Linked DNA regions of Saccharomyces cerevisiae S288C. The protein of the gene in region 2 interacts with the protein of the main gene of each other region in a pairwise test. Each region holds a gene or a part of one and is shown on either strand. Other genes may lie near its edges.

Region 1 (5,250 bases), on a different chromosome or scaffold from region 2:
CAAACAAAAATGGGCCATATATTCTTTCTGTCTCAACCTTCGTTTCCTTGGATGAATTATTTTGATTGAGCTCCAAAAAAAAAGTTGTAGCCAGGAACTATCCAAAACTTCGATTGAGAAACCCATAACAATGATGCCTGCCAGACTTTTCATACTATATCTTTTTGTAGTACTCATGCCTGTTGTTCATTGTTCGTCCAACCTGCCCATCACTCCATATATCTATGAGCGTCTAGTATATTTTATTAAGGCAAGCTCTATATCAAGCTGCATATCTGACAACTTACTTCTTGTTAATAAAACCTTCAACGACGGAGGTTGTCCACCACATATTAACTTCTGCAATGATGAGATAATTAACCCAACAGCGGGTCAAACAGTGGTTGAATTAGTTCTTAATGCAAAAAAAGGTGAATTAGGCTCGGGTTATCTGGCTGTTGACCACGGAAAAAAGGTTGTTATTTTAGCATTTAGAGGATCCACAACAAGACAAGATTGGTTTAGTGATTTTGAAATATATCCTGTTAACTATTCTCCCCTTTGCGTTAAGGAATATCGTAAGCTTATAGAGGAAGGAAAAATCAGAGAATGTGAAGGTTGTAAAATGCATAGAGGATTTCTAAGGTTCACAGAAACTCTCGGGATGGACGTCTTTAAAAAAATGGAGTCGATTCTGGAAAGCTTTCCGGAATATAGGATCGTTGTCACTGGGCACTCCTTGGGGGCAGCATTAGCAAGTTTGGCTGGGATTGAATTAAAGATAAGAGGCTTTGATCCGTTAGTGCTGACATTCGCAACACCAAAGATATTTAACAGTGAAATGAAACAATGGGTAGACGAGTTATTTGAAACAGATGCTATAGAAAAGGAGTCAATTCTTAAAGATGAAATTCAATTTCGTAAGGGCTATTTTAGGGTTGTGCATACAGGTGATTATATTCCTATGGTTCCACCATTCTATCATCCGGCTGGTTTAGAGATGTTTATTAACAAAGTTGGTCTACCTCAGAATGCGGAAGATATTGAATACCGTGGTAAAAATAACAGGTTAACTTTAAAGGATGGATTTCGAGAGGGTATGAGCGGTTTGGTTGAAGACTGGTTACATGTCTATGAACATCGAGCCTACTTCATTGACGTAGTGGGATGTTCTGGACTTTAACATTCACCCACTTTTACGTTTTTGTCTATAACTAGCATATATAATACCGCTCTAGAGTTACTCTAAACTAAATGCGACCACTATTCTTAACTAATAATTGTTCTTTTTACAAATAACTCTTTCAAAACTTCTAATCTTTTCTCTTACGTTTTCCATTTATCTGCTCTTCTTCTGAAACTCTTTTTCCTGCATTGGCCCTCTCTTTGTTACATGAAAGAGGTTTTAGGGTTGGTAATATTTCTGGTTGTAAACTTCTTGAATACACTTGGGTAGCTAACTGCTTATTCCAGTTCTCCTGGCCACTAATCCCGGCTACGCTTTTGTTGAAATAGTATTCTTCTACAGCATCATAGCTATCATCACACATGTCTACTAGTTTCCACGTATGTCTTGGAGGTACTCTATCTTGACCGTAGATGGAAGCTTTAAAATTTTCATCCCTTGGGAAATATTCCTCACGTGGAATTTTTTGAGCGCTGCATGGCTAAATTCTACCGAATCCAATACGTATATCCACTACTCAACATGTTGGGGCACAAGTGATTACACACTTAATATCTCTGTCATAGAAGCTACTACAGAGAAATTGGTTGACACTAGATTATTAACAACACTCGAGAATGCAACCGCTTGGATTAACTCAAACTCTATTGATGAAGACGAAGATGATATGCCTCATGCCACTAACGTAGCAGACCGGCTTGATGGGTTATCCCTTAGCAAGCGCGTATATAGCATCTGTCACTACGAATTTTAGTGCGGATTCTCTCCGTAGCGTAAACGTTCTCTATACATCATCTACCCATGTTGCTCCACCTAGCAGAACATTTCAGAAAGAAAGAAGTCCAAGTAATGGCCAACAACCAGAAGGACAGCTTTTTTTATGAAGGCCCCCTACTGCATATTCATTAAGCTTAAGCTTGATCGGTGAAAAATGCTATAATCTACGTGTACTGGTCACATTGTTGCACATCTCAATTAATCAACGCTCTATTATTATACGGAAGATATAAAGGCATAGTAAATACACTTGCCTGAGGTATTGATTGATGAATTATTTTCCACGGCCCATGCGTTACTCACTTCGAAAATACATTTGAATTTTAGTGATAAGTTTTGCGATCTACTTTTGTTCAAGATAATAATACTGGGGTAGAATATACACTAAGAAGTCTCTTTGAAATTAAAAATATCTCTAAAAAAATCCATTATATAATATACAGTAATACAATTAGAGGCAGGTTTTTCTTTTGCACAATCAATATGCTTTGAAACCAATAAATTCATCCCAGGAACGGACTTCTGGTGGAACTATAACGTCATGAGATTCCAAAATTTTGATCTTTTCTGCAATTTTTGCCTTCAAACACTTTGCAAATAACAAAGCCGTTTGAGGTTCATTGAACAATGGGATAGCAAAATCAATAGCATTCCTTCTCATAATATAGTCAACATCGTCAGTGCTCTCAGCTCTCTTGGAGGCTAAATTGAAAACAGCTTTTATGTCATATTCTTGAAATAGTTCACGCAATTTTCTCTTATCATTCTTTGGAAATTTAATCAAAGAAACCTTTGCGTTCTTTTCTTTGATGTGTTCCTGTAGATACGTTTTAGTGGTCTCATTAGTTGTGTATATTCTGTAACCAATAGTGGCCACTATGGAAGCCACTTGGCCCAAGTATTCTCGAGATGTATCACCTCCAAATAATATACCACTTGGAGGTAGTGGTACATGGAAGTTCATGGTACTTTGAATAGCAGTCCAATAGCTTTCAATTAAATCTCTACCAAATGAAGCAACTTCACCAGTTGATGCCATTTCAACCCCTAAGAAAGGATCTGCACCAGCCAACCTTGTAAAGGAAAATTGAGGAACTTTAGTAGCAACATAGTCGTACTTTTTGTTGAGCATCAAATCAACAGGTTTTGGTACAATGTCACCGCCCAAAAATGCCTTGACAGCAATTTCAATAAAATTAACGCCTAAAACTTTTGAAACGAATGGAAATGATCTAGAAGCTCTAATGTTACATTCAATCACTTTCAATGTATGCTCCCCATCCTTGATGATTTGCATATTGAAGGGGCCAGTGATCTTCCAAGCTTTTGCGACCTTATCAGCAATGTCTTTTAGGGCAATCTTCACATCGTCAGAAAGATGTTGTGGCGGTAAGACTAAAGAAGCATCACCGGAGTGCACACCCGCATTTTCAACATGCTCGGAAATGGCATGTACCAAGACATTACCATTATAAGCAACGGCGTCCACATCAATTTCTTGAGCACCTTCAATAAATTTAGACATGACGACTGGGTGGTCTGGAGAAACGTCAGATGCCAAAGTTAATTTAGCCTTCAGTTCCTCCTCATTATTAACAACACTCATTGCCGCACCGGAAAGAACATATGAGGGACGAATCAACACAGGGTAGTTAACTTTAGAAGCAAATAATTTTGCTTCTTCTACTGATGTTAATTCACTCCATTCAGGTTGGTCAACATCAATAGAATCCAAAATAGATGAGAATTTGTGTCTGTTCTCAGCTCTATCAATATCGTTTGGATTGGTACCCATTATATTACAGCCGTTATCGTAAAGTTTCAAGGCAATGTTTTGAGGTAATTGACCACCGACAGAAATAATGCAACCCTCAGATTGCTCCAACTCATAAATGTCCATCACTCTTTCATACGATAATTCTTCAAAGTATAATCTATCAACTTCATCGAAATCTGTGGAAACTGTTTCTGGGTTATAATTTATCATGATAGTTTTCTTGCCTTGATCTCTTAATGTCTTCGCGGTGTTCACGGCACACCAATCAAATTCTACAGATGAACCAATACGATAGACACCAGAGCCTAAAACCAGCATACCATTTTCGTTGAACTCCACATCGTTCTTTGTAGCATTGTAAGTGGTATACAAATAATTGGTTTGTGCTGGAAATTCTGCGGCCAAAGTATCGATTCTCTTGACAAAAGGGATTATACCTAACGTTTTTCTTAAACTTCTGATTTCCAGTTCGTTAATGTTTGTGGAGGCGTGTTTATTTATAGTAACCGCAATCTGCTTATCTGAAAACCCTAATTTCTTGGCTCTCTGCAAGAGATCTTTACTCAAGTCACTTAAAGATTTAACTGATTCAAGCTCTTTATAGATATTAACAATGTTCATGCACTTGTAAAGAAACCATTTATCAATTTTACTCAATTCATTAACTCTCTCAACAGTATAGTTTTCATGGATTAAGGCCTGACCAATGGCAAGGACTCTTCTATCAGTTGGAGTTCTCAAGGCTTCATCAAGTTGATCGCCGAATTCAGTAGAACCTTGGAATCCCAATAATGATGGATCCACCTGTCTTAATGCTTTTTGAAAGGCTTCTTCATAGTTTCTACCAATAGCCATAACTTCTCCAACTGATTTCATAGAGGAACCAATGGATCTGTCCACGTATTGGAACTTAGAAAGATCCCACTTAGGTATTTTTGCCACAATATAATCCAAAGATGGCTCAAAGTTAGCCACTGTAGTTTTTGTGATTGGGTTTGGCAATTCTGGCAAAGTATAGCCTAGCCCAATTTTGGCGGCAGTGTATGCTAAGGGATAACCAGTGGCCTTAGACGCCAATGCAGAGGAACGAGATAAACGTGCGTTCACTTCAATAACTCTATAGTCTAGCCCATCAGGTTGCAAAGCGTATTGGACATTACATTCACCAATAACACCAAGGTGTCTAATGATTTTAATTGCGGCGGATCTTAACATATGAAACTCTTCATCTGATAGGGTCTGCGAAGGAGCAAAAACCATAGAATCACCAGTATGAACACCAAGTGGGTCGAAATTTTCCATATTACATACTGTAATACAGTTACCAACCCTATCTCTGACCACTTCATATTCAACTTCTTTCCAACCTTTCAAAGATTTTTCAACAAGAATTTGTGGGGCCAACGACAAGGACTGTGCGGCAAGTTCCTTCATTTCACTTGCATTGTTAGCGAAACCTGAGCCTAACCCACCCAAAGCGTATGCAGATCTGACAATAACTGGGTATTTGACCCTTTCAGCAGCCTCCAAA
Region 2 (7,935 bases):
TTTAATATGATGGAATTCATAAAAAAAAAAAATACACATAGCCATGCCAGGTAATTGCAGATCAACTGATAAATTAGAAAAAAATTAATGCATCTTTAAGGTTTTAAATTAGAAATGTTTTAACTTTAAAGTCACTGAGCAATAAAAGTTCTACCTAATGTTGTAAAACTGTATTCATAACCGAAACACATTATGATTATGTCATTTGGTATTCCACACCAAAGCGAGGAGCATTCAAAATGATACCATTTATGATACCGGCAATCAAACCAGCAATTGGTAAAGTTAAAAACCAACCAGAATAACACCAGGCTACCATTCTCCAATTAACTGATTTGAGATCCTTGTTACATAAACCAACAGCGACAATACCACCAACGGCGATCTGGGTTGTTGAGGTAGGAATACCTAATTGGGTAGCCATGACAGTAGTAATAGCAACAGCTAGTTCAATTGAAAAGCCTCTTGATGGCGACTGCAAAATCATCTTATTACCTAGATTTTTGATAATATTGTAACCATAAGTCCAGCAACCAATAACTAAGGCAACACCACCATAAGCCAGAACCCACACGGGAACTTCGGACTTTGCCCCAATAGTGTTAGTTTTCCAGATCACATACACAGCAGACAAAGGACCAGTAGCGTTGGCAACGTCATTAGCTCCATGAGCAAAAGACATAGTGGCTGCAGTAATGGCTTGGAGAACCGAATAGATATATTCTACTCTATTGTCGTAAAATTTAGATCTTTCGTACATTCCTTTCAGGTCACCAGATAACATATCTCTATCATTAACTTGAGCATGAATGACGTCTTGAGTCCAACCATGAGAGATTACTAACCAGAACAATAAGGGCCATTTTTTAGGTCCTTGCTTTAATAATGACCACCAATATTGTTTCGTTGACAACTTTGTTTCTGGTTCAGTTTCAGTTCTAACCAGGTCCACTTCCTGGATGTCTTCTTTGTTTTTGACGGAATCATTAGAATTACTCGCTGCCTTATTTTCTTCGTCTTCAACAGAAACAGTTGTTCCAAGATTTCTTCTGCCCTCGTAATAATCGATTGTTAATTGATGGCCTTCTGGCATTGGTGGGATATCATCAGTGGACTTAAAGTAAAAAGATGGACCTCTGAAAATATCAATCAACTTTAGTGTCCAATCTTGGTCCAAAACTTTTCTTCTGTAGAATGGGTAGAAAAAGATGAAGTAAACGATCGAAGCAATTGCACCTGTGAGAACAATAGATACGGCAGTTTCAGTTTCAGATAAATCGTCCAAGTGTAGGTTTGGAGAACCCTTCCAGACAATCAACATTGTTAAGATAGAGAAAGTGGCGAATACTAAAACACCAACCAGCAGTAAAGCATTCTTAATCGATCTTTCCAAAGACTTAACTTCAAGGACAGAAAACCTAGAAATTGAAAAAACTATAGCTGCGATCGCGCCTGCCAAAATCGGAGCAATGAACCATGACGCAATAATTTGAGAAACACCACTCCAACCCCAAACGACACCGTTAGCTCCACCGGCTGCAATCCCAGCGCCAATTGTACCACCAACAATGGAATGTGTAGTAGAAACTGGCATTCCGATTGCAGTAGCAAATGTTAACCAACAAGACGAGCCAATCAAAGCACTGGTCATAGTAAGCATTAAAACAGCGGGGTCGTTGGTAAAAATGGAGGAATCTATAATGTTGTTCTTGATAGTACCAGAAACTCTTGCGCCTGCCAAGACAGCACCCAAGAACTCACAGAGACCCGCCAAAACCATGGCTTGCCAGTATTTTAGAGATCTAGAAGAGATCGACGACGCGAATGAGTTCGCCACGTCGTTTGCCCCGATGTTAAAGGCATCCAAAAATGCAAATAACATGGCAATGGCAAAAATATAGTCAAATTGATGTAAAGCCATTTTTGCTTAATCTTTGTTTATATTGATTCGATTAGATACGCTCCAGTATTCTCACCTTTGATCTATGTCACTCATTCTATGACAATTCATGTAAAATAACCTCAATGTAAAGATCATCTTCAGCAGGTTTATATATAATTTTCTTCATATCGAAAACCGGGCTTAGTGACATGAATTGTTTGGAGATGTCCACCCAGTAGACATTGTAAAAAAAATCTGCTATTGACTGAGTTAATCTAATGATTTACATAATAGAAGGATCCAAAGTGGCTGTGACATCTAGTATTGATAGATTAGTATTATTACTATTTGTCTCCCACGTGCTGCATTGTCATATGCAATTTATTAAGATTACATAAACTCCTTTGTACGGTATATTCTTAAAGCCTTTCAATGACTCGGGCCAATTTTTAGCAATATTTCGACATTTAAGGGCCCACTAACAAATTAATGGCACAACGTGGGGATGACGAAAAAGCAGAAAAAGAAAAAAAAGGTCTATCGCACAGCCACACACCCTTGTGGTGAAGCCGTTTTGTGATCGGTGTGGCGCGATCTGTGAAATTTAAACTTTTTTGCGGGTGAAACCGAGATTTCTGAAACTAGATTTTCTGGCTTCGCCAAAGAAAGATGCATCGAATTAATGAAATTAAACGGATGTAAGGAATGAAATTATAACGATTCCGCTAATGTTCTTTACTGACGAGTGTCACTGAAGTACTTACTCGTGAACAAAAATTAACCTATATCAGTAATTTTGATATTGTTAAAAGTAGGTATCTCTATCAAAAGAGATTATAAGACCCATCGGCAAAACTCGAAATATCGTCTTGAGAAAATCATTATACAGTACATGGTGCAATTTTAAATGATTTTTAAATACTATTATATAATCGATACATTTAGTACACGCGAAGACAACGTAGTGTTGAGATTCAAAGAGGTTACAGTTGAATACGTGACAAAGCTGACGAGAGTACTGTGAATTCAACAAACCATAAATGGTCACTCCAAGTAACGGTATTGTGATTTCAACAGAAAACACAAGCATTGTGTTAGCGTGCTCGTAAAATATTATTTCAGCGGTGAAGCAGATATGCGTTAAAGGTGGGCTCGCTATTAAATCATGAACGAAAAAACAGTTATGTCGTTACTGGTGTGAGTCGATATTACGAAACCACTGGCAGGTAGATGGATAGAATGGGACTGATTGGAACAGCGCAAGTTTTTTTCCGTGGTCGGAATTCTCGTAGTAATATTGGAAAATAGTTGGAAGAAAAATTGTGTGAAAAAATACATGCTGAAATAGTCAAACGAAGAGAGGTGAAGAATAGATAAAGCTGTTGAGAGGCAAGACAATGTTTTCAAGATGATCAGAAAAGGATACGGTCCAATATCTATTTATATTCATTGCCCTACCGTGGTATGTTAAAAAAATATGTTACATTTATTGCTCCCATTGGATTTTGCACAGGTGTGAAAGAGCTCAGTTGTCAAGATTTAGTCATTAAGAAGGGCCGCAGCAGCTTTTTGTATAATAGAGCGTCTTTTTTGTTTGTGAAAAAAATTTTATGGTGAGATATTGTTCGATTCTACGAAGTCATTTTACTAGTTTATGGACTCTGATATAAGACAGAGTTGACAAGGAAATGGTGCCGTGATTGTTTCCGTGTACAGCTTTTGAGAACTTCCTTGAAAACCAATCATCTAGCACTTTCATTTCTGGGGAAAAACCTGGAACCAAATCTTGAAAAATAAATTCCCCAGAAGTTTTCCTTATTCCGTGTTCTAATCTTCTCGTTCACTTTGCAGTGACATTCCACGGCCATGCGCAATTTACCCCGCCCCCGGATTTTATTGTCCGTACCGCCATTTTTCAATAGATTAAAAAGGAACAAAAAATCATTTCAGAAGGTTTCTTTCTCGGGAAAACACTAGAGTGTAAATATTGAATATCAAACATCGAACGAGAGCATCTTGAAGATATTTATGTTCTAAATATGACTTTAGTCAAGTATGCATGCGACTATTGTCGTGTCCGTCGAGTAAAGTGTGATGGTAAAAAACCATGTAGTCGCTGTATTGAGCACAATTTCGATTGCACATATCAGCAACCATTAAAAAAAAGAGGCTCAAAGCCTATTGGAACTAGAAGCTTAAAGTATATACCAAAGGCCAAAATGTTTATAGATAATAAAAGTTGTACGGCAGCGGCAGAAATATTAATGAAGGTTCCTAAAAAGGTGATTGATCAGTGTTTGAGGCTTTATCACGACAATCTATATGTTATCTGGCCTTTACTCTCTTATGATGACCTTCACAAGCTTTTGGACGAAGAATACAATGACCATTACGTTTATTGGTTTCTCGTAGCTCTTTCAGCAGCCAATCTTAGCGATCTACAAAGCGAATTAGAATCTGAGGGGGGATTTTCGTTTACTGGAAAACAATTAGCCGTTCTCTGTATGTCCTCACGCCAACAATTTGATGACCTTAGCGGCAGAGACATTTTCCGAATTATGACATATTATTGCTTGCTACGTTGTTTTTCACAGTCTTCTGATGTAAGAAATTCATACAGACTTTGTCGTGAAGCTATTGGCCTTGTTATTGTAGCAGGGTTACATCGTGAAAAAGCATACGAATCACTATCATTTCGTGAGCAACAGCTTTTACGCAAGGTGTATTATTTGCTTCTCTTGACGGAAAGATACTATTCCGTATATGTTCATTGTGTTACAAGTTTGGATACCACAATAGCTCCACCTCAGCCAGAGTTCGTAACGGACCCTCGACTTTCTTTGGATAGCTTTTTTGAGATGATTAGAGTATTTACTGTACCAGGTAAATGCTTTTTTGATGCTTTGGCTACGGAGTCTACTAGCGGTTCTTGCACTGAAGACTCACTGAAAAAAATATGGAAAGAGCTTCACACAGCATCCCTTGAAATAGAACCATGGTCTTATGGCTATGTGGACATTTCATTTTCTCGACATTGGATTAGGGCGCTGGCTTGGAAGCTAGTGTTTCAGATGAATGGTACCAAGTTTTTCTCAAACGCCAATAATGCTCACATATTGGTCGAAATTGCAAAGGATATGCTGGACGACATATTCTTAACTCCAAACAACCTGTATGATGTACATGGTCCTGGAATACCAATGAAATCATTGGAAGTAGCCAATGCATTGGTAGATATCGTAAATAAGTATGATCACAATATGAAGTTGGAGGCTTGGAATATTTTGTGCGATGTATCCAAGTTCGTTTTCTCCCTGAAACATTGCAATCATAAAATGTTTCAAAGGTTTTCAACTAAATGTCAGAGTGCTCTAATCGATTTGCCTATCTCTAGACCACTGCGCCTAAATGATGATTCCAAAGATGAAGACGACATAATTCCTTAATTTATTGTTCACGCCGTTCACTTATACGAGATAGATATACTGATAGAGTGTGAGTGATATTCTTAAGTCTTGCTTTTCGAGGGTGTAAGAAGCTATGTTCTTCAGGCGAGATTATTCTACTCCTGCCTTACTTGTTTGTAATATTTAGTTCTGATGGTCATGATAATTCTATATACAGTTACATTAAGTATATACTTAAGCGGGCAGCTTACTAATATAAATTTTGTGGCATTTTTGTTGGGATATGAGAATCATGTATCGTTGATTTACAAAGCGAATTTACGTTACCAGGAATAGGGAATACTCTCTTGAATTCTAACATAAGCACAGAAATGCTGAAAGAATACGTCAAAAAGTAAATTTACAGAATTAAAAAAAAAATAATTGTTGCCGGAACATGAATAGAGTGTATCAATATACAATATAAAAATTCAAGCATTTTCATTAACGGGAATGAAAAAATTGTATATTAGTACTTCTTTTTGCAAGATATTTAAATCTAGGACCCTCATCACAATGATTCATTTAAATCATTAACGTTTTTTCAGAACAAAATAATAACCTCTAGTTGAAAAAACTTCAAAGCCGCAACAAAACCAAAAAAAAGTCATAATGTCGAGTAAAAATAAACTCGATGTGTTAAGTACTAGTTATATAAAATAAAATTAAATAACGCCGTATCTACCTACTGGCTAAAAAAATCATTTGTTCACAACAGATGAGGTGTTTCGCCCTTCATCTACCACAGAAGTTTCCAAATCTTCCTTCGGATCTTTAACATTAATTTCTGCAGCTGCTGCTTTGGCAGCTGCAAAAGGGTCGACTTTAGTCGACTTGAACTTTCTTGCTGGAACACCAAGTCTAAACAATTCATTTATCTCAATAAAAGTCCTGCCAGCGGTTTCTGGTAAATCGACAACAGCCCAAGCTAAAGTGGCCAGACAAAATCCTCCCCAGAAAAAGCCTGATTTAGCACCCCAATTCCATTTCTCTGAGTTCAATTGGTACATGATCAAAACTGTAACTACAACTTGGATCACATTGTAAGCATTACGAGCCAAAATAATTGTTTTGGTTCTTAGCCTTGAAGACGGTATTTCAGACACTAAGCAAAAAACAACAGGTGCAATACCGAGGTTGTAAAAGAACGCGACAACCATTAGAAGAGCACCACTACCCATTTTAGCGCCATGAGTGTCTGAACATCCTAAACCACCGATAATGAAGAACATAATAGCCTGAAAAGCCAGCCCAAAAGCATAAAGGTCAAATCTGCCACAATATTTTGAAGCCCACCAGGATATAAACGTTGCAGCAATACCAAGACAATATTGGATAATACTGAAAGTAAAAGCCGTATCAGTGCTAACACCAGCTTTTTCATAAAAGTAAGTTGAATAACCAATTAATGATGCACCACAGGAGCATTGACCGATCCAACATAAACAAGCTATTCTCGTTCTTCTCCTGTTAATACCATCTTTCACACAATCCCAGTAAGTTCCTTCATCAGACATTTTCTGCTCCTTTTCTATAGTAGTTTTGATTTTATCGAGTTCCATACTCACTAGTAATTCTTTCTCGGGTCCTTTACCACTTAATGTTCTTTCAAGTGATCTCCTCGCTTGATCAATCCTTCCTTTTTTAACCAGCCACCATGGAGACTCTGGTGCAAAAAAAATACCTACCGCCAAAGGAAGGGGCCAGATCCACTGCAAAGCAAAAGGTAGCTTATATCCTAGTTCTGAGTTGGCATATTTGTTCTGGGAATTTTTCATAATACCAGCAGCGAAAAGTTGACCGAACGCCCAACATAAATTAGAATAAGTCGTCAAATAGTATCTTAGGGCCAAAGGACAAATTTCAGAAGCATAAGAAACGGTCAAACATTGGAAACAACCCCATGGCATACCACACAATGCCTGTCCCACGGCAATCATACCCAAACTCTTGCAAAAATACAGAATGAAAATGAAAGCCGCTAAAAAGAACAACGCCATGATCAGAGTGTAACGGTTGCCCATGTAATCTACAGAAGGCCCAGTCATTTGCAAACCGACAATCTCACCTGCCATGTAGCATAGACATAGACCGATTTGCCAGGAAACTGAAATTTCATAATCTCCTGTATTGCTATTCAAAGAACCATATTTTTTTTGAAAAACAGGCAGGGCATAGAAAGCTCCTAGAATGGCTGTGTCATAACCCTCTTGAATCAATGTTGTGGAAACTAATAGTGACCAAGCAGCAGCTTTTGGATATGTCTTCAAAGCTGTCATGAGTGGCATTCCCCTCTCACTTTCATCTGCCTCTTTGGCGTCCTGCATAGCTTCATCGAGAAGGTCGGGGACTTCTTCATTATTATCGTTTGGTATTAGTGAACCTGGACCGTACTCAAGATGGGAAAGATCAAAATCACTTTTCTTACCTTGCTCCTCCATCTCTATCGAGTTGAATTCGGTAGCGTTCACGCCATTCTCGATCTCATCTAAGTGTGAGTCGTTCCTGTCTTTTTTTCTGTTTATTAATGAGGATAATCCCTTCATAGTTAATTAATAGTCTTGGATGTAATTCTTATTGTTATACTGAATACGCTAAAACCACTCA

What was found.
Region 1: the proteins of TYC1 (region 2) and ABM1 interact in a protein complementation assay, tested with the Saccharomyces cerevisiae proteins (one large-scale study listed by BioGRID).

The regions. Positions count from the first base shown.
Region 1 is NC_001142.9:627,165-632,414, forward strand, and holds ABM1 (Abm1p), read left to right. Parts: upstream 1-1,547; coding exon 1,548-1,919; downstream 1,920-5,250. Other genes in the region: LIH1 (putative lipase), read left to right, coding at 176-1,162; YJR107C-A (uncharacterized protein), read right to left, coding at 1,293-1,529; carbamoyl-phosphate synthase (glutamine-hydrolyzing) CPA2, read right to left, coding at 2,421-5,250. UniProt on the Saccharomyces cerevisiae protein: Required for normal microtubule organization.
Region 2 is NC_001134.8:796,602-804,536, forward strand, and holds TYC1 (Tyc1p), read right to left. Parts: upstream 3,642-7,935; coding exon 3,522-3,641; downstream 1-3,521. Other genes in the region: PHO89 (Pho89p), read right to left, coding at 197-1,921; transcription factor MAL33, read left to right, coding at 3,922-5,328; MAL31 (maltose permease), read right to left, coding at 6,030-7,874.